Linked DNA regions of Caenorhabditis elegans. The protein of the gene in region 1 purifies or fractionates together with the protein of each later gene. This does not show direct contact. Each region holds a gene or a part of one and is shown in the gene's direction. Other genes may lie near its edges.

Region 1 (9,473 bases):
GCTCTACCAAAGTGTCAACTGTTTCAACTTCCAATTCGAAATTTGTTATTTGTTCAAACATAACAAACCTCTCAAAATCAACGATCGGACAAACGTCCTCCGAACGGCGCCCTGCATCCCTCCATGAGCGTAGTGAGCGTGCACAAAGAAGACGCTGGTTGTCAATTCTGCGCATTCGAGTTTTGCGATTGCTGAAAATATGAAACACTTAAAATTTAAAAGAATACAAAAATTCACCTGTGACGAATGCTAGCCATTGCTGCAAGAAAGGACAAAAGACCAGAAATGCACACGAGGAAAACTCCAGCGCCAATGGCAACGATGTCGTCTTCGCGTTGGTCGGAAATGTCGGTTTGCGCAATGATGGCAATTGTGCAGCAGCAAAGAGTAAGCATCACTGAAAAAGTTAATGGAAATTGTTTGAAAAGAGCCCATCGCCATACTATTGGACATTTCCAAAATGGAATTACTGCGGAGCCACGCGAGAAATGGAGCTGGTGGAGGGAGAAGGCTCATGGTGGCACAAAGAGATGATGTTGCAGAAATTACAAAACAAAGAGCTATGAGAATGTAGAAATAGTTTGCTGTTGATGGTGTTATGCAGTCAACGAGAACTCGGGTCGGTGTATGAAATGCCACATGAGAGTTTCCAGCAGCATCGACATATCCTCCAAATCGGACGGCTTCCCAAAAATTGTGACATCCTGCAAATCAAATGTTTCATTCAATCTTTGATTTAAATGTGGAGTAGAGCCAGTATGGTGTCAAAATGTCCACAAATAAAAGTAACACGATTTTTAAAAAATTTTGACAAATTTTCGTCACTCATAATTTTGGAAGTTGACCAAAAATATGTATTTTCTACGACTTTCACACTTTTATTTTGTATTAATTATATCTATTGAAACATTCTAACATGCGACATTGCTCTGCATTTCTTTGAAATTTCATATTTTTCCAAAAGCTTAGCAATTTGCCAACACTGTGCTTAACTTTGTTTGGAGTGTTTTATTATTTAATCGGTCGTTTTAAATCATCATAAGTATACTTAAACAAAATCCACACTGGTGCTACTCCACCTTTGAAATTTAAAACTTAAATAGACCATAAATAATTTTTTTTGATCGACGACTTCCAAAAAGTGGCAAAAATTTAGATTTTTCCAATTTTCAAAAAAAAATCATATACAATTTTGATTTTTCTAAAGAACATTTTCACTATGATACCCCATCTTTAAAAAATTTCAAATGTTTTTGATTAAGTTTAAATTTGAAGTATCATTTCACTTTCAAGATACTGTTAATCGTGTTGATTTTAACATCGCATTCCGTTTTGTCAATATTGTATTACCAGCTTTTGATTCAGTTTTAATGTAAAAGTCATTACAAGAAAATGGTTTTTTGAAAAGTTTGCACAGTCATCTGCTCTCAGCTTCTACACAATTTATTTTTTTGCAATGCTAAACAAGACTTACCAATTGCATGACAGGGTTCTGTGTTCTTCATGTAAAGTTGAGCCACCTGCAAAGCGTCGATGTCGGTTGTGCCGTTTTTTGTGCTCATATCTTCAATGAGAATCCAGTCTGTAGACATCATTGCGAAAATTGCCTGAAATATTGGAGAATACTATTATTGAAGTCATGTGCAAAAGCTTACCAGAATAGCTGCAACGGTGTGGAAAGAGGCGGCTGGAATATTGGCATCACGAAAATCCATCCTAGTGCATAATGATCCAAGCTTGGAGAAAAACATTTTCTGGAAACGTCTAAATGGGACAAAGTAAGAGTTAAATAAGAAAGTAAAGAAAAGTTGACATAGAATTTTCTGTGACCCTGCCTCGGAATATTTATTCAATGTGCCTGCTGACGAAAAAAAAACACGAAAATGAAAAGAAGCAGCGAGCCCATCGAGCCCGAGGGAAATTGAGAAAAGAAAGAGAATCAATAGCGGCGGATGAGAGGGTGCAAACCCGAGGAAAAGGCAGCCCCACTCTCACTGCCACATCGCTTCGAGACCCTCGCTTCAAACTACGGTGAATATACTCTGCGTCTCTTAAGCATTGCTGGGCATGTTAAAATTCTTGCGCTTTAATAAGTTGTGTATGGTGACTGAGAATTTGTATATTTCAAAATTCTATTTGAATGGAAAGAGTTAATTGGAAGAAAAATGAAAAAAGAAATTGAAAATCAATTATTTTAAAAATAAAATATAAGTTCTAACACTACCAATTTCAAGTACACTGGCCTAACCAAACAAATGACCTTGGCGATTTTTTTTCAACATGAAATGCCCAGATACAAACACCATTTATCAATTGTACACTGGTTTCTAATGGTTTCTACTATTTTTTTAGTGCATTATCAATTTTTAAAAATTTCCGGTAAAGTGTACATATCAGGGGTGCGCGGCAATTTCGGCAAATCTACAAAATGAGCCAAAATGAGCAAAAAGTGATATATTTTATTAAATGTTAAAAATAAAATATAGAAAAACACTTTTTTTTTAATCTAAAAGTAATGTTTTATTTAATATGAAACAACTGTAAAAATGCTCAAAAATAGTATGCAAGTTGAAAATTGCCGGAAATTATTTTCCATAATTTGTGGGATATTTTTCCGGCTCTTATTAAATTAGAGACAATTTCTAAGCAGTTTTTTATTTTTATTTTTATGAATTATATTAAAGATGTTTTCAAATAAAGCAAACATTTTTCTGAAGTTTAAGGAAATATCTGGTACTATATGCTGCACTTTTGCTGCACTTTTTTGCGTACAAATGTTGATTTCTAAATTGAAAAGTTACACAGAACAGTAAAAATTCATGTTGCATAAAATTTTAGGACGTTTATGGCACTTCAAATATCTTTAAATTTGGCCACTTTTCCAAGTCGTAGTAATCCAAAGCTGCTATTTTAATACTATAATTTTTTCCTATCGGTTTTAAATGTATTTTAATTAACAAAATTACGGTACTTCTGTAGTGTTTACAATTCTGAAAAATTAACGTTACCCTTTTTGTCGATATTAGGCTTAGGACTAAAGTTTTTTTAAGCTTAAAAATACAACCAAATTCCGCGTTTTGATTAAATAATCACTTTTAAAAGTGTTGGAAAATTTTTATGGACCAGGTGTGCGATACGGAAAAATGGCCGAAATTGGAGATTTCACTTGAAATACGTTTTTTTTTCGAAATTTTCAACCGGCAAAAACTACTTTTTGAAAATTTTTAATGAAGTTTCATTATAAAATTCGTTTATTTGAGCTCATTTTGGGTTTATGCGTTCAAAATGTCCCAAACGTTTAATGCATCGGCAATTTCCCTTTGTTTCCCTGCCACACTCTTCCAATGCCTCCCCACACAGCCATTCTTCCCGTCGTCCCGTACGCACTTACAAAAGATACACAGACATCGATTGCTGGCGCGTTTCTCGTGCATGACGCGCAACTTAATCTTCGAACACTAAACAATATGTTTATTTCTTTTTCGATTGCACTCTCTTGATTATTTTGATTTTTTCTTGATTTATATAAAATTTCGTTGTAAAATTTATTACTTTTTAGGTAAATTATTCGCTGCTCGTCGCGGAAATGTTTCGTATTGCATCGGTGAGTTTTTTTTTCATTAAAAAAATGCAATTTTTAGTTTAAATGTATAATTTTTTCATTTCAGAAGCGATCAGTCAGCCAGACGTTGAAAAGAGCCCGTCAACAATCAAATCAAGCCGCTGCTCCACCGAAGCCACCAGTTCAACCACCAAAGTAAAACATACACCAAAATCGATAATAAAAACGCGTCGTATTTCAGAAAATCCGGAGGTGGCAAAGGATTGGCTCTTGTCGGAGCAACCGTTGTTGGAGCTGGTGGTGTTGTCGGATACGCGTATGTCGACCCTGAGTTCCGTCACAAAGTCGAATCCACTGTTCCGCCAGTGAAACAAGTTTTCGACGCAGTTTTGGGAGAATCTAGCTTGCAGTAAGCTTTATTTACTAAAAAAGTGACAGTCTTAACGATAATCCTTTTTCAGGAAGACAAAACAACAGATCGGTGACCTCAAGGATGCTGTAGTGAACGCTGTCCCAAAAAAGAAGGAAGTTCTTCCTCCATTGGAGCTCGCGCCACTGCCGCCTGTCCTTCCAAGAGAGCCCACACATGTTGACCCAGTGGATGTTCGCAAAGATGTGACCCCAATGATCCCAAAACCTTCTCCAGATGTCGTCTTTGCCAAGAACCAACGTAAGATTTTTTAAGCGTAATTTTCATAACAGTTTAAAGTTACAGAACTTGAGGAGAAGCTTAAAATCGCAATTCACTCTGCTGAAGGAAAAGTGCGTTTAGCCACTGAGGCCAAGCTGAAGACCATCAATGCGATCAATGAGCATGCCAGTATTCTCAAGCAAACCGTCGATGATGCTAAGCACGCCAACTGGGAAAACGTCACTTCTGCTCTTCAAAGAGCCGAAGCTGAGGCACGCGTCGACAGTGGCCAAGAGGTGGACGGGAGAAACTACATTGATAACCTTCGCAAGGTATCTTTTGGTACAGCCTAACACCCAAAAAAAAATTTATGTTTGAAATTTTGAACCGCAATGACACAAAATTTTTAAATTTTTTGAGAAACTTCATTGCGAAATTCTTTTAATGAGCACATTTTGGTCTTACACCTTCATAATAAAATACCCAGAGTCGTTAGACCATTGGAAACTAGGACTTGACTAAACCGGACTAAATCTGTCGTCCGGTCTGCGGAAGTTCGGCTATCTAGTGCCTGTTTTTGAACTGCTACACAAGTTATTATGTGACAGGTCCTATGATTTTTGTCTTGTTGCAATACTTCGACCCTGTTTTTTTTTCAAAATTTGTAAAAAGGACCTCTTCCAAGCTCATTTACGAAAAGGAATTAAATGCAACTGAAAATAGAGACGCTTGTTTAATATTTGATTAAATGCAAATTTTTAATAATAACTATTTATTTTTCTCAATTCGGACATTTACAGATTGTGAACGATGGAAAGCGAGATTCAACTACCGCCACAAATCCGCTACTTCTGAATGCTCAAGAGACTGCTAATAAGCTTTCTCATCAGCTTGATGAGATCAACGCATTGGTCAACAAGGTATTACATGCATTGGCACTTTTACCAAAAATTGTCAAAATTGTTTTCAGTCTCGTCAAGAATCTGCAGTCCTCAATCAGTACAAGGATTTGATTGAGAAGTCTCGTCAACAGTTTGCTCTTGAGATGAAGAGCATCTTGCCAAATGTTGATATTCACGCTAAAGTGAGTGACGAAAAAAATAGAAGGAATGGAGTCCATCCTCGGTTTTTTATAAAATAATGAATTTCTGTAATAGGCTCAAATGAGCCTATGATTTTGCTAAGGTGCATTTATGAAATTTTTGTAGTCAAAAGCAAAAATTATATTTATAGTTGATATGTACTCTCGGTAAAGTCAGAAGAATACAACATACCTTTAGTACAAATAGTTACAGTACAAATATATTTGAGATCACAATTTTTACAATTTTTTATAGATGCTGACTGATTCAGGAAGATATTTCAGCTGAGGATTTGATAGGAAAGGCTTCTGTTATTTTTCACAAATTGAAAGTCGAATATCAAACGTTTAAAATTTTTGACTAAACGAAAAGCCTTTTTGACATTGTTTCCTAAAATACAAATTTGAAAGTTCACATAAATTCATTTTCAGGACAAAAATCTCAACGAAGACGAACTGAATGCATTGATCGCTCACGCTCATCTCAAAGTTGACCAGCTTCGTTGTCAGCTTTCGGATCAGCAAGTTCGCGAGGAACTGCACATCTCAAAGGCTCTTGAAGAGCAGCGACTTGCCGATGAGCGGATCGCGTCTGAAAAATTGAGCATTGAGATGAGCCGTGTTGGCCGTCAGAATGAGTTGGAAATCGAACGAGCTGTAAGTTTGTTATCAAATTTGGGGTTAAAAGTTGTTTTTCCTCAAATATTCCACTTTTTGATTTCAGCTTGTGGAAAGCCGTTCATCATGGGAAGGTGAGCTGGAGAATCAATTGAAGCGCACCGCCTCGGCTCACTCTGAGCACTTGGAGCAAGTCATCCGGACTCAGAGACAACTCTTCGAGATTGAACAGAATCAGAAGGTAGAGGAGGCAGTTTTGCAAGAGCGCAATCTTCACAGCAAGCAAGTTGGTGCTGCGTTGAGCCGACTGGAGGGAATCGAAGAGGCTCTCGGAAGCCGAGTTGCTCTTGACAACGAAAACCGTCGCGCCAAGCAGTTCTGGATTGCGTGCCATAATTTGATTGACACTTTGAAACATGGTAACAAGGCCGGAAACAACATTGATGAGAGAAGACTTCCATTGAACGAGTCTTTGAATCTTCTCAAGGAGGTTAGCGAGTTTGTCAACGAAATCAACTTTTTTACATTTTGTTACTATTCTACATTTTCATTTTAATCTGAATTTATCGTTTTCAGGTCAATCCAGAAGACGAGTTTGTCAACGCCATCATCGACTCGTTCCCAAAACAAGCGACCACAGTTGGCACATACACTGAGCAGGATCTCAAAAACCGCTTCGAGCAACTGTACAAGATTGGTCGCAAGACTGCTTCTATCGATGAGAACGGAGGAACCTTAGGAGCCTATTTCTGGTCGTACGTCAAATCCCTGTTCCTCGTGGATATGCCACAACAGTATGGAAATTTAGATGCTATTGATGTGAACAACACTGATAACTATGAGGTGAGGATAGATTTGAGTACAGAATACATTAGAGTGGGTCATAATTATGCGGATACGTAAACAACTCTGCTCTGCAACCCCTAGGTGATTGAACATGATACATAAAATTGTATAGCTCACATATTCCATAAAAATCTGGTCATGATTCCATTTAAAAAATTTAAAAATATTTCCATCCACGTTGCTCCTGACTCTTAGAAATTTTGAGGTTGGATTTTTGGCAGCAGATTAGCAGATCACTTTTGGCGTTTTCCACTGTTTTTTTTTTAGAATCCGGCAGAAATTCCGTACTTTTATAAGAATACTCCAGATTGTGAGATACGCTCGTATGACTTCGTGGTTGATTAGTAGTCATGTTAAATATCATTAAAAATATGTCAGCTTTAAGTAACGTAATGAACCCACGTTTAAAAACTGTCAGGTTTGTAAAAATCGGGCTTTTGTCTTCATAACTCGGGTCTCTATAAATATGACCCCGTTGTGAAAAATAAATTTGATTCGAATGGCAACATTCTTATTCCGATCAAAAAAATCAAAATTCTTATCTCATAATTTTTATTAAAATGCTTGTTCTTTATTCCGAGAGCTTCCCAGTCCCGTACGATGTCCGTACAAAAAATATCAAGTTTTTTTAAAATTAGAATTCAAACGTTTTGTAAGACTAGTGAAACATTTTTGTTCAGATCCTTTCCCGCGCCAAGCAGTACGTACACAATGGTGATCTCGATAAGGCGATTCGCGTTGTTCAACTTTTGAAGGGTCAGCCAGCTCATCTTGCTCGTGACTGGATCGTCGACACCCGCTCCTACCTCGAGTCTCGCCTTCTCGCCCAGCTTCTTGTGGCTCACGCCGCCGTCTCCTCGATTCGCTCAACTTATTAGAACAATTGATTGTCTTGCGTCACCGTTTTTTAAAATTGTGTTCTACTGGTTTTCACTACACTCATTTTATTTTTCTCTATTTCTCACCCTATTTAAAACGATCCAAATGTTTTAAAAACGTTTTGCTGCTAGTAGTATTGTGTGTGTGTCTTTTAGAAACCAATTTCTTGTTGGTAGTTTATAGTAGATGGGTGTGTGCACATTTTCTCCCCGTTTTTTTTTCCAAACTCTCGCCGTCAATTTTTTCCAAGTTTGTGTAGTTTTTCGAACCGTCGATGTATTGAATAAATGTGAAAATTTTACAATTTTTTACCAGAAATAAGTATGATTTGTAGAAGTTTGAGACAAACAAATAAAGAATCTCTAGAAGTGCAGTTGCGGCAGTTGGGGAAATTGTTAAAAGTCACACTTATGGTGTCAAAAGGAAATTCATTTGTTTTTATACAATTTTTAGACATCGGGTGGTTAACAAATTGATCCAAAAGACCGAATTTACTAATGAGATATTTTAAATGATATCCAAAAAAATTTTTGAGGTTTAAAAAAAATAAAATTTCAAATTTGAACAATTTATCCGTCTATGTAGTTGCGATTTTACAAAAAAAATTACATTTTTGTCGTAATTTCAAACTGCCGAAACAATTTTTTTTCTAGTCAAAGTTTTGGCGAATTGCTATACTTTTCAAAACAATATGTAACCAACATTTTCTGTTTTGATGGACTTCCAAAATTATAGGTTGTTATACTGTCCAATACATTTATTCAGAAGTTATAAAACTTTATACAAAGTTGAGGCAATAGGTGTCACACACCTTCTGAAATGCACATAATTGCAATGCTAGAAAGCATGAGAAGCATTATACAACGGGAGAGGAAAGTCACGTAACCTTACTTGTGTACCGACAAATTGAAAATGAGAATAAATCAGATGAGAAAAAAATAGTTAATAAATTATGAAATGGTACATAATGTGTAGTGTGCTAGACGTCACTTGCTTCGTGACTGTCATTGCGTCGAGATCTGAAAATATCATACGTACAATTTTGAAACAGTGTCACGTGCAAAGAATCAAAATCATTTCACTTTAGAAGTAAAACTCATGCAAAACGTTGAATGTTTGGAAGCAAATCGCAAACCAACACTGAGAAAAAATCGCATAAAATCGCAAACTCCATGCTTTTAAAAAGAAGAAAAAGGTAACACTCGAATAGAAGAAAGAAAAGTTAAAAACGTGATGTAGTATATAACAGTTGAGATATATGGATAAGTAGGGTTATACTCACAGAAGCGGTCGATAGCTGGAAGATTGGGTTCGGTAGCGACTGTAAACGCGCAGAGTCAAAGAAATTAATAACCTGGTGTTGTGTTTGGCCGTTTGACGCGGATTCTCTATCAATAGACTGTTGTGGTGTGATTGTGAAAAGTGGCACGGATGGTGTTTTTCTAGGTTTCAAACATAATTCTGATGGAAATTCAACCCAAACAGCTTGTAAGAAAGACCATCCCACCCACATTCCTTATTAACACGGGAGACTTTTAAAAGTGGAGTTGCGCCAGTTTGATGGTTCCAAAATGACCAAATATCATAGTGAACTTGAATAATAATTTCAAAAAAACAGGGTGTATGGTGCGTTCTGCTGTGATAAAACTAATTTTTAAAAATTCACGTTTGCAGTTTTTGGATAGGTATACAAGAATGATTGAAAATTGCTCTTTACTGTATAAAAATTTCAGAAAAATGACAAATGTTTCAATAAGTTTTAGGATGGTTTCTGCACTTTGCACATGTTCTTAGAATCTGGAGTCAATTTATTATTGATTAAAATTTTACAGTTCTAAAAACTTTTAACTAATTTA
Region 2 (6,296 bases), on another chromosome or scaffold:
AAGAATTCGTTTAGATCTTCCATGAAAACTAGAATAACATTCAATTTCAGCTTGGTTCGCATTCCAAGTCAAACCACATTGGCTTATTCCAATTGGAAAAGAGACATGGCTTGGAATTGAAGTAATATTCGATCAGGTAGTTGAGGAAACCAAGAACTTTCAACCGACTGAACCAACTACAAACGGAACATCAGCAGACAGTAGATCTCCTCGATTCAGACAGCTATAACAAACAAATCAACACGTGTCTTTGGACGACGACGAACTTGTCAAGAAGCGGGTTTCTACCATTTTTGTCTTTGTTAGACTTGAAATCAATAAACTTAATAACAATGTATTAAATACCAGTGAAACGACCGGATGATATGACAGGATATAACAAAAAATTAATAAAAATTTCAATTGGACGATGTAGATGGCTGGTTGTCCTTCGTAAAGTTGATTAATTCGACTTCAGATGCAACTTCAGGGATCGCATGAAAACGGGTACGGAGTGGATCCACGAACAGTTGAACTGCCGCCATAACGTTCGGAGGATAGTCTTGCTCACAGAAGCGGTAATTGCCTTGTTGACATTCACTGAAAATACCGGCAAGAATAGATTTCTCAGTATCTGGAGTTGTCGTAGCTTCGGTTTCGATAGTGTCTAGTACTTTGGAGACAACTGCCGCTTCTGAAAATAAAACTGTAGCGCTGGTTAAGTTCCCTCAGAGTTAGAATTATTCTGGGTTTACTGACCAAGTTCATTGAGCGCTGGCATTTGCTCTTCCAATGTGGCACATGCTTTCATGAATCTGTAAATGACTGGCCATCTTATATTTTGAGAGTCAGTTCTTGTAGCTTTTGCGGTGAGAAGTTTGGTCACCACCGCATTTTCGTGAGTTTTAGATTCTAGAGCGAGATTCTCGAAGAGTGTCTGAAAATTTGAGCATTTTTCAATTGCTGACTAATAAAATATAAAACCTCATAAGTATCTCTAAGAGAAGGTAGGGTCTTGTTGATTGATCCATGATGATGATCGACTATTTTTCCCATGATACTGCTCCAGTCGTCATTTGGATCCACTTGGCAAAATGGTGGAGGAGTGATATTATGATGTCCTGCTTCGATCCATTTATTTTTGTAACACTCAGGGAGAATAATCTCTTTGTGTTCCTTGATAATCTCTCGAATCTCGTCAATTTTCGCCCTGAAAAAGAATAATGATTAAATGTTGAACATATATTTTAAAAACTTACTTTATCTCTTCGATAGATCGTTTTTTTACAATGTTTCGGTGAATATAGTTTATGGCTTCAATTTTGGTACCATACTTCATCACTCCATCCAATAAACTTCTCAAGTCGTCACTGGACCAATTGCCACCATTGAAGCTGCGACCTTCTGCGAGAATCTACAAAATTTTACATTTTTAAATAGTTTATTTTATTAGAAAACTGACTCTGTCCAGTGGTGATGGTTCTTCGGTTACAGTATGGTTTGCGACTTCAAAAGCCATAGAGCTACCGGGAATTTCATTTGTGGGATCGCCGTCGGTTTCCATGGCTAAAATTTGAGTTTTAAGTTAAGTTTAATGTGCGAAAAAAAATAATTATGGCCTCGATTTAGGAAAGAATTGAAGAAAATTGAATTGAGGAAAATTCCTTTCGCTTTGAAATGTGATGTAGATTTACGATAAACAAGGCGCTGTTGCGAAATATCGGAGTGTCGTTTGAACCAGTTGTTCAGAACTTTTTATTTTATTTTTCTTAATTTCCGTCTTGTTTTCCGATTTTGTTTATTAATATTTTAATTCCAGGTTGAACCAAAATGAAGTTGGCATTAAGACTTCTTCGACCAGCTGCCAACCAAAATATTAAATCTCCGAAACTGTGGCAGGATCCAGTGCTTGGATATTTTGAGACTCACGGTAAAACTTTTATTTTATCGATTTATTTTTCATAATTTACTGTTAACTTGTAAAATAATAATTGTTCTGTATAGGAAAGACCGAATTTCTGCCAGGACATGAATACAATCTGAGCGACGAGGAGAAGAAAGCAGTTTTGTGGAGGTAATACGAAAAACGCTTTTTGCTTAAAAGTTTTTAAAAAAATTCTAAAAACAGTGAGAAACATAGTTTTAATTATATTCTCAATTTAAAATTATTTAATTCTATTGAAAAATCAATATATGATAACATTTGCGTTGATGAACACTTATTTCAAGTGATTTATTAGCAATAGAGACAAAAAAAAACAGTTTCTTGATATAATTTACAGAGTATCAAATCAAAAATTGCTTTAAAAAAACTGTTGCGATAAAATTGGATATTAAACACTGAATTAACATAAATTCAGTTTTTAATATCCAACTTTATGATAAAAAAACTACATTTTATTTTTAAAAAATTACTTTCAGATATCGTGTCAAGGAGATTTTGAAGAAGGAATATCTCCGTCGTGAATACGATCCTCATAGCTTCAAGTACAAGGAGGGAGTCACCATGGATCCAGCAATGTTCCGTTGGTATTCTGCTGATATGACTCAAGCCGAGTTCTTCCGTTTCACACCACGCACCGTATTCCTGTACGTCGGAACCGTTTTCGCTCTCTTCTACATTTACACTCGTCTTATGTTTGTCCCAATGGACAAGTCGAATGAAGCATGTTTGGATGGAAAGCTTCTTTGGTGGGATCGTCAACAAGGAAGAACTCTACAAACCGGAGGATCCGGTCTCTTTGCTCCAACCATCGGAATCGACTTCTAATCGTCTCGATCTATCTGTTTTCTTAAATTTACTTTTAGATCCGAATGTAAGCAACTTTTTCTCGATTTTTGTTTTTTTTTAGCTGTGTCGTTATCCTCGTCAAATAAAATTCAGATTTTATTAATGTAAACACTCGTAAATTTATATAAAATAACATTGATGCCTGATGAATTAGATTCCGTAAAAATATGTGTGGAACAGACATCACAGAGAAAAAGAATGAGAAATTTGTGCCTGACTTTCGAGAGAGTTCAAGGGAATTTTTAAGAGAAAAATGGGAGCTGAAACCGTACAATCGGGACGTGTAATTTATAAAATAATATAATAATGTGAAAATCAATAATATCTGCCTGACTGCATTATATCGAGCTCTTTTTTGTGATTTTGTCTTCGAATCACTAGTGCTGTGGAGACAACTGTTAATGATACAATTGTGATAAGAATAAGGGGAAGAACTGGAAGAAGTAGTCGTGGAACACAGAATGGAGAAGGAGCAAGGAGCCCACGATCTGCTGGATCAAGTACAAGAAGTTCTGATGTTGCTACGTCGATCTAAATATTTTATTGTTTTCATGTTAGGAGGATTAAAAAAATATATAATCCGGAAACAATCTATGATTACCTCATAATCAGACCGATCAGCTTCTCTTTTTGTTCGATTTCCATCACCACTTGCTTCACTCAGCAATTTCTTGACTCCACAGTTTGGTGGCTGAAAATCAAAAATAAGTATTTGCTTCAACAATCTTCGAACTCTATTACCGTAACTTCCTGGCACATTCCCATTTGTTTCTGACACAATCTTATCTGACAAGTGAAATATAATTGATTTGAGTCTGCATATTTGAAAACTTGACTTGATGCATGAGCTCGCATAAGTGAAGCATCGTAAGACAGCTCACTGAGCAAGAATGGATCAGTTGCACAGCCATCAAAGTCAACAACAGCATGATCTTCTCCGTCTCCATCTGTTACAAAACACTTTTTGACAAGCATTCCCATATCAGCCGGTGTACATTCCCATACATGAAATACAATATCTCCGACATTGGCATATGTTAAAGTTGGACCATTTGGACCATCACGACGAACTGAATACTCGCATTTTGGCATTACCATACTGTCAGATAGTTCAGTCGTTGGGATCATACTGAAAATTAATTTTTTTGATTATTTTTTTAATTATTTGTGTTTGAAAATTCAAATATCATCAATGCTCCGAAATACGCAAAAAGTTCAATTTGGCAATTTGCAAGAACATAGACTTGAAAAAAAAATTTAAGAGTTTCCGATAATCTTATCTGGTGAGTTCAAAGATTTTTCACCCTCAAATACTAAACACTGAAAAGTATAGAATCTCAATGTAAAATTATTGAAATAAAATGTTAAAACTTCAGTATCTTTTTCTTAATACATATTACTGATTTAAAATTAAACTTGCAGTTCCTATCAGTGTTGCACTCAAAATGAAAAACTGAAAAATAATTATTGAACGCAATAGTTGAAATGAGGCATATTAAAATAAACGATTACCTACCTAACATCAATATTCTGAGTAACAATCTCATCTGGTTCCATATAGAAACATTTAACATGGAATGCCCTATCATTTTTTGTGATGAATCCAGCTGGATGGAATGATACAATGACTGTGACCATAAAATTGACGCCTCGAGGATTTGCCTGAATAAAAAAAAACATCTCACAAAATTGTCGTTTTCGGTCCATTTACCGATCGTAACCGTTGCATTCCACATTTTCCAAGCGGCAATGAGTATGAGTTTGTTCCATTGTTCGCATAACTTTGTCGACATGACTTGTCTTTCGCTCGTCCCTTTACAAAAATATTTCCACGAAATGGTTTGGAGGTGACAATGTCGAGTGCCAGATCATTTTCCGCGCATATTACCTTGGGTGTACCTGTAGAAATAAATGAGAGGGGAGCTCTGTTTAATACGCTTTACACGACCACTTCCGCACCTCATTATTCTCATTTTTGTTGTTCTTGAAGGTCGTTTTTTTGCGGTTAGATTTAGTGGATTTATCTTGTAATTGCTTTGAGACTTGCAAACTTGTAGACATGGATTATCGCACGCTTTATAATTTTTTTTGTATTCAGAACATTGAACTCTTTCTCTCTATATAATTATCGCTACTTAGGCCGAAGTGTAGGGAATGGGGTCAGTAGTCGCAACTATTTGATCTGCCTGTGGATTTTTTGCTTAAAAAGGATATATTACTGTAGCATACACGTTTTGAAGATGCAGAAAATGATTAATGTTTTCTTAACAACAAAACCGGTGTAAGATCGGTCTAGGCAAGTTACAACTTTTGTTTTCTAAAATGTGTAAGACCAAAAAAAATTTTTAACGAATTTCATACGGCTTTTTGAGAATTTGTCTGCATATGTCAGATTAGTTTTGCTGTAAATTGAATTTTTTGAAATATACGGTACCCGGTCTTGAACCGATCGGAACTTTGAATCTATCCGCAGCAATTTTCCACAATGTTTACTCATTATTTCCAAATATTTTACGTATTTTTTCCAAAAGTTTAAAGTTTGCAACATGAATTGGGAAACTGCGGGTACTGTAGCTTCGACGTTTCGGTCGTGCCGAGACCATTTTTTTTGTGAACGGCTAATAAAATTTACTCTGGTCATAGTGTCTTTTAAGTGATAATTTTGCAAGCTTCGAGTCAAAAACCGTGATCAGAGATCAATATCACATATTATATATTCTAGAATTCAAAACAAAATTCATCTGGTGAACTGCAGTTTTCTGCCTCTGGATAATAGTAGATTAATCACAAGTTAGAATAAACTGTTCAATTTTAAAAAACTTTAAAAATTTCAGTAAAATGAAAATTGAACTTACCTATTATAGAGTTATCAATATAGTTGACCACTTTCGTTTGTCCTATCACTTTCTCTAGCATTGAGCATACCAAAAGAAATCCTAACCTCAGAAGCATTGTGTCTGTCTGTAATAATAAAAAAATCTTGAGGAAGTACAAGAATAAGTAGTTGTAACGACACACGTTCAAAACTAAATTAAATGCTCTTCTTCTACTTCATCTGGGGAACCAAACAAATGTGGGAGGAGCATAGGTGGTAACTAGTACGACCAGAATACGGGCGGGACGCATGATGACGTTCCCGGGCGGGACAAGAAGACATGATCGCTTCTCAATTAAGCTCGTGTTTTTAAGATGGACGGAACGAAGAGAAATCCTTGCGGCGGGCGGTACTTCTTCCGAAAACTACGAGAAGAACTACATATTATTCGGGAAAAAGAGTTTCTGTGTAAAGGTCAAACTGTGGAGATGAAGAGAAAGAGAGGAGCGATGGGAAAAAAATACGATGGACAGAAGGGTTCACGGTGAAAATGGATAATTACATGGACAGCCGAGACTCGAGAATAGGTCAATTGAGATGGAAATGTATGACGCCTGCTGCTGCCATACAAAAGGTGAATTGGTTAAGCTCGTAAGAAATGACAGAGTATTTTGATTTGAGAAATAATATGTAGACAACACCTGCATTCAG
Region 3 (6,446 bases), on another chromosome or scaffold:
CTCACCGCAGACGTCTTCTTCACACAATATGCAGATCACGATGATCAGGGAGAATTCGCGGTTTTTGTGAAGGGAACGATTAATCTACCAAAGTTGAATCCATAATTAATTTTGGATTTTTGTATATTTCGATGTCTCTTTGTCTCTCACTGTCTAGGATGCTCCAGCTCCAGGGGGTGATTCTACGAAATGAGCCAATATTTTTATTGATATTTTGTGATGGAAAATATTTAGAAAAATAATTCTTATATCAGAAAATAGCTACTATTTTAGAGTTGGAAAAATTGAAAAATGCCCAAAAATTTGTTAAAAAAAGTGATTTTTAGGCAGATTTGGCGAAAAACATAGCCGATTTTTTAAAAGGAAAATCGAAAAATTGATCATAAAATTTAATTTTGTAAATTAAATTTTGTGTATGTTGATGAGAAACAAAAAGAAAAATGGCCAAAATTTTAAGATATATTTGATTTTTTTTCTATTTTCCACAGTTTTTTGAGCATTTCTTCAATTTCTCAATTGCCATCTCGAGAGATCAATCCGATTTCTTTGCATTCGGCTCCTTCGGTGTCATTTTTTGAGTCGCTTTCTTCAGCGCCGTATCTGAAAGTATTCCTCTTTTTTTTCTTTAGTTTAGACTATTTTTCATTTACTTTGTAGATTTTTCCCCATTTTTCCCTCCACATTTCTGTCCCGCTTCTGATTAAGATTAAAGTATTTTGATTTGATTTTTGAATTTTTAAGTTTTTTTTCGTTGGTTTTTATAGTCGGTTGAAGCTCCCGAATTTGCATTTTTCTTTTATTTTTTATTATAACTAAGGGTTTCGTTGAGAAACTCGGTTTTTTTTCAGAGATGATCGAAAAAAAAAATTGTTTTTTGAGGAAAAAAAAAATTTTTTCATTAAAAAAGGCAAAAAATTATCGAAATTTTGAAAATGCCTCGAAAAAAAAACGAATTTTTTTTCAAAAATAAAAAATAAAATTTCGGATTTTCTCGGAGCAAAGCTAATATTGATGAGAAAAAGCATAGGAAACCCTGCAATTTTTTTCAAAAAACAAAAAAAAACGAAAAATTACCAACATTTTGAGAGATTTCTCGAAAAATAGATTTGTTTTTTTGGAAATATCGAAAAAAAAATTAGTTTTTATATTTTCCCGAAAATAATTGGAAAATTATGTTGTTTATATTCATGAGAAAAATCTAACATAATTTTATTTTAAAAAAAAATGACCAAAACTTTGACATATTTCTCGAAAAATCAATTTCCGGAAATCGAAAATTTTTTAACTAACTAAAAATTCTCATAGAAAAAAAAACATCATCGATTTTTACCTGAAAATCTAAAAAAAAAAGATATATATCGAGTATTTTTAATGTTAAATACAGAAGGAATTGGCAAAAGATGGCCAAAAATTATTTTTCCGGCAAATCGGCAAATTGCCGGAATCGACAATTTCCGGCAAATTGTGGCCTTGCACATTTTTTTGGAACTTTTGAAGAATTTCAATTTAAATAGGCAAAGAAATTTTTAAAAAAGGCATCCAATGAATGTTCTTACATCTATTTTAAAAAATTAAAAATTCTATGAAAATATCTAACGAAAAATGGGAAAAAATTTTAAAAAGGCACAATTTGGAGTGTTTCCGTTTTAAAAAAATCGCTCTACAAATTTCCGTCATATCGATATCCGGCAAATAGGCAATTTGCCGAAAATGAAAAATTCCGGCAATTTCCGCACACGCCTGGGTCAATCGATATTTTTCTCACAAAATTCAAAAAGCTGACTCACCCGGCTCATCAGGAGTTTTCGAATTAATATAAATAACTGTGAGAAAGACGAGAAGCGCGACGACAGGAATAAAAACGTGAACAGCTGAAAATTCATGAAAATCGGTTGAAATTAATTTAATATATTTAACTCACATTCAACGAGATTATAGACGGCGTCCATGTTTGACAGAGCCCCAAGTTGCCTTCTTGCTCCGAGAGAGAAAGAGCACACACTACTGCGCTTGATATCGATTTTTGTGTGCTGCGAAAAGCGTTGAAGAAAACGGAAAAGGAGACCTCCGTTACGAAAAAGATGTGAAAAAGACGAGAGAGGGGGGGGGGGGAGAAGCTCGGATAATAAAATGAATAAACTGGGAGAAAGAGGAAAAGACTTTTGTGGATTTTCAACAATTTTTTAGTAGCAAAGATTCGGAAAATTAGCCGATTTTCCTGAAGAAAAGTTAGTATGAATAAAAAAAATAAATTGACGAAATTTTTTTGAACTTGGAATCCACTTTCAACAATTTTTGAATACAAAGATTTGGAAAATTTGGCGATTTTTTGCGGAAAAATTAGTAGATGGATGGAATTTTGCTGAAATTTTGCTGGGATCCACCGAAAATAGGAAAAATAGCTTAAATTGCGAATAGGTTTTGCAAAAAAAAAATTTTTGTTGAATTTTTGAAAAAAAAGCAATTTTCTAGAAGAATATTTTATTGGTTTTATCTAGTTTTTTGGGAATTTTTTTTTGAAATTTTTCCAAAATCTGGGATTTTTCACCATTTTTCCTTTTTTTTGCGTGATAGTTTGAGATTATTCATGATTTTTCTTCTCTCGAGGCATTTTTTCGAAATTTATTCAACAAAAATTACATTTCATGGCTTTTTTGATCTTGTAGCGTGCCTTTTTATCCAAACAGTATTTAATTTTAGGATTTTTTGGGTAATTCTGAAATTATTACGGGAACACAATTCTAAAAATGCGTATTGCACAACACATTTGACGCGCAAAATATCTCGTAGCGAAAACTACAGTAATTCTTTAAATAACTACTGTAGCGGTTGTGTCGATTTACGGGATCTCGATTTTTGAAATTAATTAATTTAACGATTGAATATTAAAATTAATTTTCTTTAAAAAAAATCGATATCCCGTAAATCGACGCTACCGTATTCATTTAAAGAATTACTGTAGTTTTCGCTACGAGATATTTTGCGGGTCACTCAGAATTTTGCGTTTCCGTAATATTAGTGTGTTTCTTTTTTCGATTTTCCGATACTTAGACAAATTATTTTTTTTTTTCGAAACATGTCTATAAATTTTAGCTATTTTTCTTCTTTTTTTTTGAGAAAAATGTTTTTTTTCCTATTTATGCATTTCCTCATCGACATAAAAAAATTAACACAGATTTTAAAATTTTAGTTTTTTTTTCTAAAACATTTTCTGATTATCTCTGAAAAAAAAACCGAAAAATCGATATTTTGCTTCTCAACTCATAATAAAATTCCAAAATTCCAGAACATCCGCAATGGCAACTGGTAACCGTAATCCGGAGAACTTCACATCATTGTCACCAATCGTAAAGGCTCCAATAACCGATACTCTTTCGGTTCCACTCTCCCAACAGGGACGTATCTGCGGATTCTTTGAATCTCAATTCTACCGTTGTATGGAGGCTTACGGAGCAAAGATGGGACGCAAGTATTGTGATCTCGAGCATCGTGACTTCCAGGAGTGTGTCACTGGGGATAAACAGAAGAAGGTTCGATATCCGGAACAGAACTGTCGCGAAAAAAAATTGGACTAAAAAACAAAAAATTAGTGAAAACCAAATAAATTTGATCCCTTGAATTTATTCTTTTAACGGAGGACTAACGGTTCGGACGATTTTGAACGTATAGACCCAAAATGTTCTCAAATGAACGAATTTCGTAATGAAACTTTTCAAAAAATTTCCAAAAATTTTTTATGGCGGTTCAAACTTTTGAAAAAATTACACTGATTTTGGCTAAAATCTCGAATTTTGCCCATTTTTCCGTGTCACATCTGTTCGAAGTTGGCTTTTTTTGGAATTATCGTCCTTTATTACATATATTGGTAATTAATCTCATTTAATTTCGTGGATCAAATAACATTTAAAGCCGATAGGTAACCAATTTCGATGATTTTTGGTTACCTATCGGCTTTAAATGTACTTTAATCGACGAAATTAAATGAGATAAACTACCAATATATGTAATAAAGGACGATAATTCCAAAAAAGCCAACTACGGACAGATGTGACACGGAAAAATGGGAAAAATTCGTGATTTTAGCTAAAATCAGTGTTATTTTTCAAAATTTTGAACCGCCATAAAAATTTTTTAAAAATTTTTGAGCAGTTTCATTACGAAATTCGTTCATTTTCCGGAAATTTCTAAAATTCTAATTTAAAAAAATGTTCCTTCATTTTTCTGATTTTTGAGTTTATTTTCTCGTCTTCTTTCATGCAATTTTTCCGATTTTTCTCCTATTTCTAAAGAAAAGAAAAATCGAAAACTCTGAAAAATTTGGTTTTTTAACTTTTGGATTTTTTTTGTTGATAAAATCGAATATTTTTGGTTTTCGATTTTCCTAAAAATTTAAATGTGTGTTCTCCAGTTTTTTTGCCCTGAAAGAGAAAAAACTACCATAATCTTTTTTCTGCGCATCGAGACCCATCTGAATAAACCCGTGCGCCTTTAAAAAACATCACATGAAATTCCAAAATAATCGAAAAACAATTTTCCAGAGAGCTGACGCCATCCGTGAACAACGCTGCAAGCTGTTCCTCGACGGAAAAATCGCGAAGCCATACGTCGACAATCATCCAGAACCGGGACAATTCAAGACTGATCACTTCCAGTGGAATCGTATCAACTAGATACTTGAAGTGCCTTTAGTTTCGAGAGAAATCGCCTTATTTTTTGTAGTTTTCATTTCTTTTTTCTTTTTAATCTTTTCTAAGTACATAAAAAGATTTATAATAAAAAAAAAAAGAAGCAAGTTAAGAGATCAATAATAGTCCGGGTAACACATCCAATGACACAATAATATCTATATCTATAATGAAATATGAAATTAAAAATGGAAGAAAAAGTCGCCGCCACCACGGCCGCCACCACCACCACCGCCGAATGGATTAAATCCGTGGAAATTATGAAATCCGTGTGATCCTCCACCTCCACCTCCACCCCTCCCTGCTTCCGAATCCAGTGGATCTTGTCCATTATCGAAAGCTCGCCGCTTCTCCTCATTGCTCAAAACTTCCTTCGCCGCGGCAATATCGATAAACTTCTTCTCAGCTTTCTTCTTCTCCTTCTCATCCTGAAAGTTGTCCGGATGCCATTTTTGAGCCATTTTTCGATAGGCTTTTGTGATTTCTCGTTTATTGGCGTTCCGGCGGACTCCGAGAATTTTGTAGTAATCTCGTTTTCCGACGAGTTCCTTTGCACGCTTTGCTTGATCTTTTCCAGTTCGGACGGCGTCGTTTGATGAATCCCATTCTTCGGCTTTTTCGTAGTCAGCGATTGCTGGAAATTAGATTTTGATGATCGATAAATCCGTGAAAAGCAGCGCCGCACAGAAAAAGAGGCGGGGCTTATTTTTGCAATCCTGCGGCACGGTTTTTCCTCCTTTTTATTGATTTTTTTCAATGAGAAATTCTGAATTTCGTCAAAATTTTCTGTTAAAACGAAGAAATAGCGTGCGGAGGCTTGCGAAAACCTGCGCCGCACAGAAAAATAGGCGGAGCTTATTTTTGCAACCGTGTCGCACCGGTTTTTCCTCCTTTTTATTGATTTTTTTCAATGAGAAATTCTGAATTTCGTCAAAATTTTCTGTTAAAACGAAGAAATAGCGTGCGGAGGCTTGCGAAAACCTGCGCCGCACAGAAAAAGAGGCGGAGCTTATTTTTGCAACCGTGTCGCACCGGTTTTTCCTCCTTTTTATTGATTTTTTTCAATGGAAAATTCTGAATTTCGTCAAAATTTTCTGTTAAAACGAGGAAATAACGCGCGGAGGCTTGCGAAAACCTGCGCCGCACAGAAAAAGAGGCGGGGCTTATTTTTGCAATCCTGCGGCACGGTTTTTCCTCCTTTTTATTGATTTTTTTCAATGAAAAATTCTGAATTTCGTCAAAATTTTCTGTTAAAACGAGGAAATAACGCGCGGAGGCTTGCGAAAACCTGCGCCGCACAGAAAAAGGGGCGGGGCTTATTTTTGCAACCCCGCGGCACGGTTTTTCCTCCTTTTATTGATTTTCCGAATGAAAAATCCGATTTTCATTGAATTTCGTTGAAAATTTCTGTTGAAAATGAGGAAAAAACGTGCGGCGGCTTGCGAAAACCTGCCCCGCACAGAAGGTTGCAAAATTACGCCCCGCCCATTTTTCTGCGCGGCGCAGATTTTTTTCTCATGTTCAGCAGAAAAATTCGAACTAATTAAAATCGGATTTTTTTTGGAAAAAAAAAATTTTAAAAAAGCATTTCCAGTAAAAATCCATTTTTATTTGAATTCTGTTCGAAATTTCCTGTTAAAAACGAGGAAAAAATAAATAAAAGCGTGCGGCGGCTTGCAAAATCGATGTTCAATCGCTCCGCCCCCCACGACTGGGTCTCGTTAGGTATTTCGCGCCCTTTTTAAAAATGGTTTCCGTTGT
Region 4 (8,564 bases), about 13 Mb from region 1:
GATTCCCCATTTCGATTAGTGTATTTGTTCGGTGATACTCGGAGCATGTTTTCAAATCTCTGTCAAGAATATCAAGAAGGTTTCGCATGAATTCACTAGCATCTTGCTGCTGGAAACACTCAAATCCTGGCATCTCATTGCGAACACACTTTAAAAAATAATGGACTTATTAAGAATAAAAACGATATAAACCGCACTGTAATAATTTTCCAAGGACTCAAGTAAGGTAGAGGAAAATCACTATACATATTTCGGAGATCAAGTGCCATTTGAATTGCAGTTTTTGGAATGTCGTGTGAACAGTTTGACCAGCCACCTGGAGGTATCTGAAATAAACCGGATATGTTTTTGTACATTTAGGCTTCATACTTACAAGCTCTATCAAATACTGTGTGAACGGTGAGCAATGTCCTAAAAGTTGTAGAACCGCATTCATGTAACAAGTGTTCCCGAAATTGAGATACCCGAGCAATCCTATAACTTTTTAGAAATTAAATTTTACAATGTTTTCACTAACCTCTGAAAGCTAGAGGCTCCATTTTTCTTGTTTCCTGCTCCACTTTGTCGCTCGTTGAAAACTTGGTCTGAAACATAACATTATTGATACAAAAACGCGTGCCCCTACTAATTTCGTTATCACATCAATACTATATCATTTTTTTTCTACTACTTGATTACTTACATGTGTGAGGAACCGCTTGACAGGAGTGTAGACCATGCAACGTGTACATAGAATTGATTTCCGATCGTGATATAATATTGGAGGATGATTGTGAACCTTAAAAAATTGGAATAATTTTGAGAGCGCTGAGGTTGATTGATCTGTGCTTATCGAAGCATTAACTTATCAATTAACAACAATTTGGTGTTTTTTTTTCAATTTTCGGATAGATTAAAAATTTTTTAACCCTACACCTAATTGCTACCAAGCTTAAAACATGATGCTTAACTTATAAAAATGATTATGTTCCTATTTTTCTTCTGCACAGTTTTCTGTTTAGAAAAAAGTTCATCGCATGTGTCTGTCAAATTATATAAATATATGTAGATTACTATTTAACGGATATTATGTAAAAATGCAATTATATCAAAATTCAAAAAAGTAAGCAAAACTTGATGTCAATTTGCGAACAAACGTACCGCCATATGAGGAAGAAGGTGGTCGGAATTTTTGCAACAGCTTGACTTCAAACTATTAATACAATCTTGATGAGCACATGAGAAACTGACTGAATCATGGCAAGTCATGCATTTTAACTTCTTCTGTAGAAGCTGGCTGAGGTCTGATGGATTGATGTCTTTGACGTGTTTGCAGCGAGATTCCATTTGTTTTGGAAGCATCTGTAATTATTTTTGAGGTTTTTGGAAAATCAGGTATTGTGATGTTAAATGTTTGAGAAAGTCATTGGAAATATTCTTACCGGTCGCGGATTATTATTCTCTTCCAGATCATCCTTATCGGTATCTGTACCCGTTCCTGATTCAGACGATGACGACTCCTCATCTAGTATACCCTCTTCTTTTTCGATGTTCTGTGATGGCTGACTGCTATCCGAATTCATTCCGTCGTCATCACGCCCTGCACTATCCGCCATTCTGAAAAAAAATATAGAAAATTGAAATGAGAGTCATGTTAAATTTAAAAAAAAGTCATCATTAGTATCAATTGACCACAACGAAAAATGATATTGAAACCAAAAAAGAAAAAAACGTTAAGTTGTATTTCATATCATCAGTTTAATTAATAAGTTAATAGTATATTCGAAAATCTGTACTTTAAAAAAACAATGATGTCATTTCGGTAATAAGTGTAAAAAAATATGAAACTTGTGTATTATAACTCCACATTTTGAAAATTTAATTTCTTAACTTTTAAACGTGATCTTCATTTTGTTTTTTTTTTGAAACGATCTTTTCCAAACCTAATCATGATAATACTACTCACGTTTTAGATAAGTGGAGAAAAAAAACAATTACTAATTTACTTTTAAAATGTTGGAACACACGTACCGAAAATATTAGGTTAAATTTACAATTTGATCAAAAATTGAAAAATGAGTTTATTAAAAATTTTTACAAAATAATCCAAATTAACGTTATATTATAAAACAATTTTCAATTTAAAAAAAGTTTCTTAGAAAACAAAAATAAATAATAACACCGAGCATGACAATTCCGAACGACTGTCCAAGCAACAAGACATCTTCTAAATCAATAGAGAGGTGAGGCTACGCGAGGAAAACAACGACACTCCACCACGCGCTAAATACCGAGCAGTCGTCTTATTTTCGTTCGGTACCTATTTTCGACACTGTTTTTGCGAATTTACTTTCTTTTTTCTTAATAATTTTAATATTATCTTTATCGTGTAAGAAAAAATACGACTGACTGTTAGTTTCCATGAAAAAAATTGTGAAAATCAAGTTGCGAATTGGTGGGTTTTTGAAGTTCAATCTTTCTGTGTTCAATGTGCAATTTGGCAGCGATTTTATCGATTTTTCCGTTTCTCTTTGTTGCTTTAACTTCACAACTTTTATTGCTCACTATTCACCGAATATTTTTATAGGAAACAATGTTGGGTAGAAAGATCGCCGGAACTTGTCTCCGAGCGAACGTTCCATCGGTCGCGGCGACGTCTTCTACTCCTGCCACCCAAACCCGAAACTCCCACACAATCTGGTATCCAGATGCTAAATTTGAGCGTCAATTTAAGGTTGATTTTTTTTGTTGGTTACGAGTGACATCTCAATTTTCAATATTTCAGACCGGAGGTACCCTCGGAAAGCTGTGGATGTCGGAGCGGGTTTCGGATTTCGACGAGAAGATCGGACTTGACAAGCTTGAAAAGTTGGCCTATTCCGATCCAGTTATGAGTGATAACTACAGCGGAAAACAGAGGTAGAAATTTTACCGAGTACTTGAAAATTAAAATAATTTGTTTTTTTTTTCAGAGAGAAGAATCTGGAAAACATGATTCTCAACTTCGGACCACAGCATCCAGCCGCTCACGGAGTGTTGCGTCTCGTGTTGAAACTGGAAGGAGAAGTCATCATCAAGGCCATCCCACATATTGGACTCCTTCATCGTGCCACTGAAAAGCTCATTGAGCACAAGACCTACACTCAGGTATGTTTCTAAAACGATATTGAAAATGATAAATTGAAAATTTGTAAAATCTTCAACTCGGTCCAAGTTTAGAACTGAAAATGACAAATATTGTGTCTAAATAATAATTTTTTGTTTAGCCTAATTTTAGTTTTCAAAAGCTATGAAATCCGTTTCAAATCATTTTTTCTGTCACTCAAATCGAATATTCAATCAATTTTTCCAACTGTTTTCTTTGCAGGCTCTCCCATACTTCGATCGTCTCGATTACGTCTCCATGATGTGCAATGAGCAGGCTTGGTCTTTGGCTGTTGAGAAGCTTCTCGGTATTGACATCCCAACAAGAGCCAAATATATCAGAACTCTCATGGGAGAGCTCACTCGCATCCAGAACCACATCATGGGTATCACCACTCACGCCCTTGACGTTGGAGCTATGACACCGTTTTTCTGGATGTTCGAGGGTAAGTTTATTGTTTCAAAATAAGTACAAAACCAACATTGATTTTCAGAACGTGAAAAGCTCTTTGAGTTTTCCGAGCGAGTATCTGGTGCCAGAATGCATGCCAACTACGTCCGCCCCGGAGGTGTCGCTTGGGATCTTCCAATTGGTCTTATGGATGACATCTACGACTGGGCCATCAAGTTCCCAGAACGTATCGATGAGCTCGAAGACATGCTCACCGAAAACCGAATCTGGAAGGCCAGAACTATTGACATCGGACTTGTGTCAGCTGCTGATGCTCTCAACTGGGGATTCAGTGGAGTCATGGTCCGTGGATCTGGAATCAAGCAAGACGTGAGAAAGACCGAACCATACGATGCCTATGCTGATATGGAATTTGATGTTCCAATCGGAACCAAGGGTGATTGCTACGACAGATACTTGTGCCGTATTGAGGAGATGAGACAGTCGTTGAACATTGTGCATCAGTGCCTCAACAAGATGCCAGCCGGAGAAATCAAGGTCGACGATCACAAGGTTGTGCCACCAAAGAGAGCCGAGATGAAGGAGAACATGGAGTCTCTTATTCATCATTTCAAGTTCTTCACCGAAGGATTCCAAGTGCCACCAGGAGCAACTTATGTCCCAATTGAGGCTCCAAAGGGAGAGTTTGGAGTTTACCTTGTTGCTGATGGAACCGGAAAACCATATAGGTAACTATTTCATTTTTAATGTTAAGAATGCGGTGGTCTGAACCAAGGGTGTCAATGTCCCGTAAAATTTATATTATATATAAAAAATTTTAAATTTACAAAAACGGGACAGCGGGACTCCGGTTGACTATTAATTCTTGATTATGAAGTGATTACCAAATTAGGACCACACGCGCAGACATCTCCACCCTCCACCCTGATTTGAATGCCACAGTGGTCGGATCTGTAAACGACCCCTGTGGCCAAAGTGGTTGCGTCGCTGGTTAGTGTGCACAATCTCGCGGGTTCGATTCTTTTGAATGCTAAATCCTTTGTTCAGTTATTATAAGTAAGGGGACTTCTAATTGTTTGTAAAAAATCGAGTATTACAACCATTGGAATTTCTCTATTACATTTTTGGATTGGCAAAGTTGTAGTACTTGACTATAGGAAATGATTTAGCCTTTTAGGGAGGATGTCTTTTTCAGCAGGACGTCCTCGGCGGCAGGATCAGGACGCGTCCTCGTCCTTCGCGTTTGGACGTCCCCAATTCTCACTGTGTGTGTTTTTCACAATTTCAACAGTGAGACTTGAGGATGTCCAAACGCGCAGAACCTAACTCGTCCTTTTTAACAGCCCTAAAAGTGATAATTGTTATGTTCTGAAGGCGGAACGACGAGGAGAAGACAAGAAGTTTATTATATTAGTACTAAACTAAGGAATAAACCAGTTAGTTATAGAGCTCACGTTGTACAATCTTCTTAGCCACATCGTGGGTAAATACACTAGTAACAAGAGCTCAAAAGTCCAAGGTACAGATTTTTCACCAATTAAAAAGTTTGGAATTTTATTCAAATAAAATGGGAAAAGTGCAGCTTCAACATTTAACCACATTTTTTGCACTGTATTAAATAAATTGTCATTTTAGTGGAAGTGTATGAAATACTTTGTTCAAAGCTTCAGTGCAATACTAGTAGACACTGCAAGTTTTTTATTGGTTATCTAGAATGCAATTACAAAACTTTGAACAGCGTATTCCTAACATTTGAATAAGATATTTCTATGAATTGTTACTAGGCGGGATAGCTCAGTTGGTAGTGGTGGCCGCTAGTAGTCTGGAGGTCACAAGTTCAAGTTCCGCCTCACGCCTTAGGTTCGCCCAGCATCTAATGGGAAGTGAAGCTCATCATTCATCCATCACTGGATTATCGGCCACAGTCCCCGGCTAGGATGTGGCTTAAATTATAACCCAGTGGGAGCATCGCCAGGCAGTGTACCTGACTCCCAGATCCGCATTGATTTGCACTTGAAGAGAGAAATATTGTTCAAATTTTGAACTAAATGTCTGAAAATAAGATGCAAAGATTATAACACCGTTATACAATTAAAAATACAGTTGTATATAATAATGGTTACTGAAAAATGTAAGTGAACGGAAATTTCCAATTATTAATTTTTGTCATTTCACATACATACAATTAGGGCTGTGCAATCGGACGAATTCGTCCGGTTTTACCAGATTTACACGCGTCCAAAACAGAAGCTTTTTCAACATTAAATTGTCTCATTTCAGATGCTTCATCCGCGCTCCAGGGTTTGCTCACTTGGCGGCCATCCACGATGTGTGCTACATGTCTCTTATCGCCGACATTGTCGCTGTCATTGGAACTATGGATATTGTGTTCGGAGAGGTCGATCGATAAATACTCAACTCATTAGGCACGTAGACGGATTCTCTATAGCACATTCTCAACTCACTCTTTATTTATCCCTTGCACCGCGAAATGTGTTCTGTTTATTTTCTTTTCTTTTCAAAGTTCGTTTTTTTCTGAAATTCAAAAATGTAGATTTGTATCTGTTCACTGTTGTTCAGGATGTTCAATAAATAAGTCTGCAACCAAGACGCAAAGAAAAAACGCTTTATTAAGAAAATACTCACAACAATAAAAATAGAGCTAACATTATGATCAAGATTATGAAAGGAATGACAACACGCGTTGATGAGGTTGAACTTCGGGGTGCCAAAGTTGAATGGTGAGGACAAGTCGGAAGGATGATGAAGATGCACCGTCGAATTGGAGCTGAAATTTTAACTATGAACTTTAAGGTAATATTTAAAGACGGCTTTCAACTTTTGAGATCGTTGCCTTACTAGTTAGAAATTCGAAAAGTATTGAAAATTTGCCAATTGTTTGGGCATTGAGTTTTTATGTGCTTATCAATTGATATATCAAAATTAATAGTTTGTACCAGGGCTTCCATGAGGTCGCCGCAACGGTGCCTCCGCCGGGCTCACGCCGCATGTATAGTGCGGCGCGGAACCACAAACGTGTCGGCCGCTTCCAAATAACCACATTTTGGATTTACTGACACACACAGCGGCGCGCGGCGTCGGCGTGAGGCCCGCATTTCGCGCCTCACACAGCTGGGAGCCCTAGTTTGTACCTAGACTCCCTAAAAAGTATTGATTCAAGAAATGCTAGACATTGAAAAGTATGCCAATACATTTACGATGCCCCCAACTCTATTCCAATGAACCAACCTCGTGTTCAAAACTGTCATCATAAATGATAAATTTCCCGGATCTCCATCCCTTTGTCTCATTACCAACACGTATCCTTGCTTCAGATGGAGAGACAAGACCCAAATGTGCTTGGAGGTGATAGTTCGTAGGACCACAGTGTGGCAGAATAGAAGCACCTGATGATAACACCGACAAATGCATCTGTAAATGAATAAACGTTATCATGATCTTTTTCGGTGAACATACATCTGACTTGCTGGCATTACTGGAAGCTGCAAATTCTTGAAGGATTAAGCATGTCTGTGGCATTCTCTCGCAGCTAGATTTTATAAAATTTTGCTCGGACATAATTGGGAAGAACTTCCATTGTCCATCGATGACGAGCTGTTGGTTATGATCCAACCAACAATCGCTGCAATCCTTCAAAACCTCCATGCCTTCCTGTCTGATTGTCGCCCACTGCCGTTCAACTGTCTTCAGAAACTTGGAGTACGGAGTCTGATCCATTGCCCACCAAGCCCTGCCGGTGAGTCCTTCAATGTTGTACAAGCTTCTCTGCTGGGCAGTCATGAAAACTCCCATTTGTGCAGCCTTCTGGTAAACAGCGTCAGCTTCACTTTTACGCCCGAGGGTTGTGAGACCATGGCCGAGTTGATAGTAAAATTTCGGATCGGTTATTTCATTGTCAGCATTTTTTAAACTTTTCCTCATTAGAGCAACACCTTGTTCAACTTTGTCGTCGTGTGCCTGGAAAAAGTTGTTTCAATTAGGGCCGGCATCTTGAGCGTCCGGACGTCCGTTTTTTAGAACTTTGAAAATTTCCCGAGGGGTAGGTTTTCACGGCGGCCGACAATTTCCGAGTTTCGCCACTCACTATACTTAATCATATAATTTTTGTAATGAGTGGCTAAACTCGGAAATTGTCGGCCGCCGTGAAACTCTACACTTCGGAACATTTTGAAAGCTTCAAAACCGTACGCCGGACTTCTCATATCCCAGTCCTAGTTTCAATTGATTTAAAGATCATTTTTAAGTACAAGTTAAGCTTTATAGAATAAAAACACACCTTCAAAATATATCCATAATAAGCCAATGCAATTACGTGGTTCGGATCATTTGCTAAAACATTTTTCAGCACAGTTCTTGCATCTTCATATCTTTTCATCATCACGAAAGAAATCGCAAAATCGGTTTGCAAGTTGAGCTCTTCTGGGAATCTATCAATAAAATAGCGATGAGCCGTGAGAGTTTTATGCAGTTGGCCCCGGAATCGAGTTTTCTCAATGAGTCTTTGAGCCGCTTGTCTGAAAAGTTCCCCATGTTGCTTATGTTTAGATTTTCAATGTTCAATCCACCTGAAAAGGGCATCCGGAACACCGCTGTTTTGAAGAATCTTCTCGTAAATCTCAATAGCTTTATCTCTATCTGTTTCATCGGCTTCTATCTCTCCTCTTATATCATAAGCGCGTGCTTTTCCAAAGTATGCTCTAGTTGATGCTGGATAGACTGCGATGACATGGTCAAAAAGTTCCATGGCTTCTTCATATTGGTGCTGAATTAGAAGGGCTTATAGTTTTTGCAATCTTGTTGCAAAAAAAATAAATAAATAAAACGAACATTAATTTGTTAATTAGAAAGTTTGACAGAACAAAAAACGATTTATTAGACACTAAAACAGACAAAATAGCAATGAAATGGAAAAAAGTGATTGATAAGAGGAAAGGTGTTGAAACAGAATAATGAAGGAAAAGGGAAACAGTCTATACAAATTTGAATTCTACACAAAACGACATTGCCT

What was found.
Region 2: the proteins of immt-1 (region 1) and nuo-6 fractionate together in Caenorhabditis elegans (co-fractionation; one large-scale study listed by BioGRID). This does not show direct contact.
Region 3: the proteins of immt-1 (region 1) and nduf-5 fractionate together in Caenorhabditis elegans (co-fractionation; one large-scale study listed by BioGRID). This does not show direct contact.
Region 4: the proteins of immt-1 (region 1) and gas-1 fractionate together in Caenorhabditis elegans (co-fractionation; one large-scale study listed by BioGRID). This does not show direct contact.

The regions. Positions count from the first base shown.
Region 1 is NC_003284.9:2,681,271-2,690,743, reverse strand, and holds immt-1 (MICOS complex subunit MIC60-1), read left to right. Parts: upstream 1-3,559; 5' UTR 3,560-3,586; coding exon 3,587-3,604; exon of another isoform or gene 3,605-3,668; coding exon 3,669-3,757; intron 3,758-3,803; coding exon 3,804-3,971; intron 3,972-4,023; coding exon 4,024-4,232; intron 4,233-4,277; coding exon 4,278-4,525; intron 4,526-4,993; coding exon 4,994-5,113; intron 5,114-5,163; coding exon 5,164-5,277; intron 5,278-5,706; coding exon 5,707-5,931; intron 5,932-5,998; coding exon 5,999-6,382; intron 6,383-6,468; coding exon 6,469-6,735; intron 6,736-7,418; coding exon 7,419-7,616; 3' UTR 7,617-7,990; downstream 7,991-9,473. Other genes in the region: T14G11.1 (Membrane-associated protein), read right to left, coding at 69-191, 238-397, 444-704, 1,475-1,607, 1,656-1,751; ser-7 (G-protein coupled receptors family 1 profile domain-containing protein), read right to left, coding at 8,597-8,636, 8,900-8,938.
Region 2 is NC_003279.8:7,064,689-7,070,984, reverse strand, and holds nuo-6 (NADH dehydrogenase [ubiquinone] 1 beta subcomplex subunit 4), read left to right. Parts: upstream 1-1,798; 5' UTR 1,799-1,809; coding exon 1,810-1,909; intron 1,910-1,983; coding exon 1,984-2,053; intron 2,054-2,400; coding exon 2,401-2,749; 3' UTR 2,750-2,869; downstream 2,870-6,296. Other genes in the region: W01A8.6 (Peptidase M14 domain-containing protein), read left to right, coding at 51-229; tofu-5 (Twenty One u-rna (21U-RNA) biogenesis Fouled Up), read right to left, coding at 399-673, 739-916, 964-1,189, 1,239-1,393, 1,442-1,543; cutl-6 (ZP domain-containing protein), read right to left, coding at 3,086-3,301, 3,372-3,461, 3,512-3,899, 4,287-4,432, 4,482-4,669, 5,626-5,722.
Region 3 is NC_003279.8:2,999,688-3,006,133, reverse strand, and holds nduf-5 (NADH dehydrogenase [ubiquinone] iron-sulfur protein 5), read left to right. Parts: upstream 1-3,286; 5' UTR 3,287-3,296; coding exon 3,297-3,530; intron 3,531-4,538; coding exon 4,539-4,670; 3' UTR 4,671-4,774; downstream 4,775-6,446. Other genes in the region: Dual specificity mitogen-activated protein kinase kinase mek-2, read left to right, coding at 1-105; Y54E10BL.3 (CcoQ/FixQ family Cbb3-type cytochrome c oxidase assembly chaperone), read right to left, coding at 533-600, 1,788-1,871, 1,922-1,949; dnj-28 (J domain-containing protein), read right to left, coding at 4,868-5,319.
Region 4 is NC_003284.9:15,584,400-15,592,963, reverse strand, and holds gas-1 (putative NADH dehydrogenase [ubiquinone] iron-sulfur protein 2, mitochondrial), read left to right. Parts: upstream 1-2,566; 5' UTR 2,567-2,572; coding exon 2,573-2,713; intron 2,714-2,764; coding exon 2,765-2,898; intron 2,899-2,951; coding exon 2,952-3,126; intron 3,127-3,346; coding exon 3,347-3,569; intron 3,570-3,617; coding exon 3,618-4,263; intron 4,264-4,593; exon of another isoform or gene 4,594-4,653; intron 4,654-5,815; coding exon 5,816-5,945; 3' UTR 5,946-6,178; downstream 6,179-8,564. Other genes in the region: usp-33 (Ubiquitin carboxyl-terminal hydrolase), read right to left, coding at 1-148, 198-326, 374-474, 518-584, 683-778, 1,141-1,341, 1,422-1,595; K09A9.6 (Aspartyl/asparaginy/proline hydroxylase domain-containing protein), read right to left, coding at 6,216-6,323, 6,785-6,967, 7,013-7,513, 7,833-8,070, 8,122-8,318.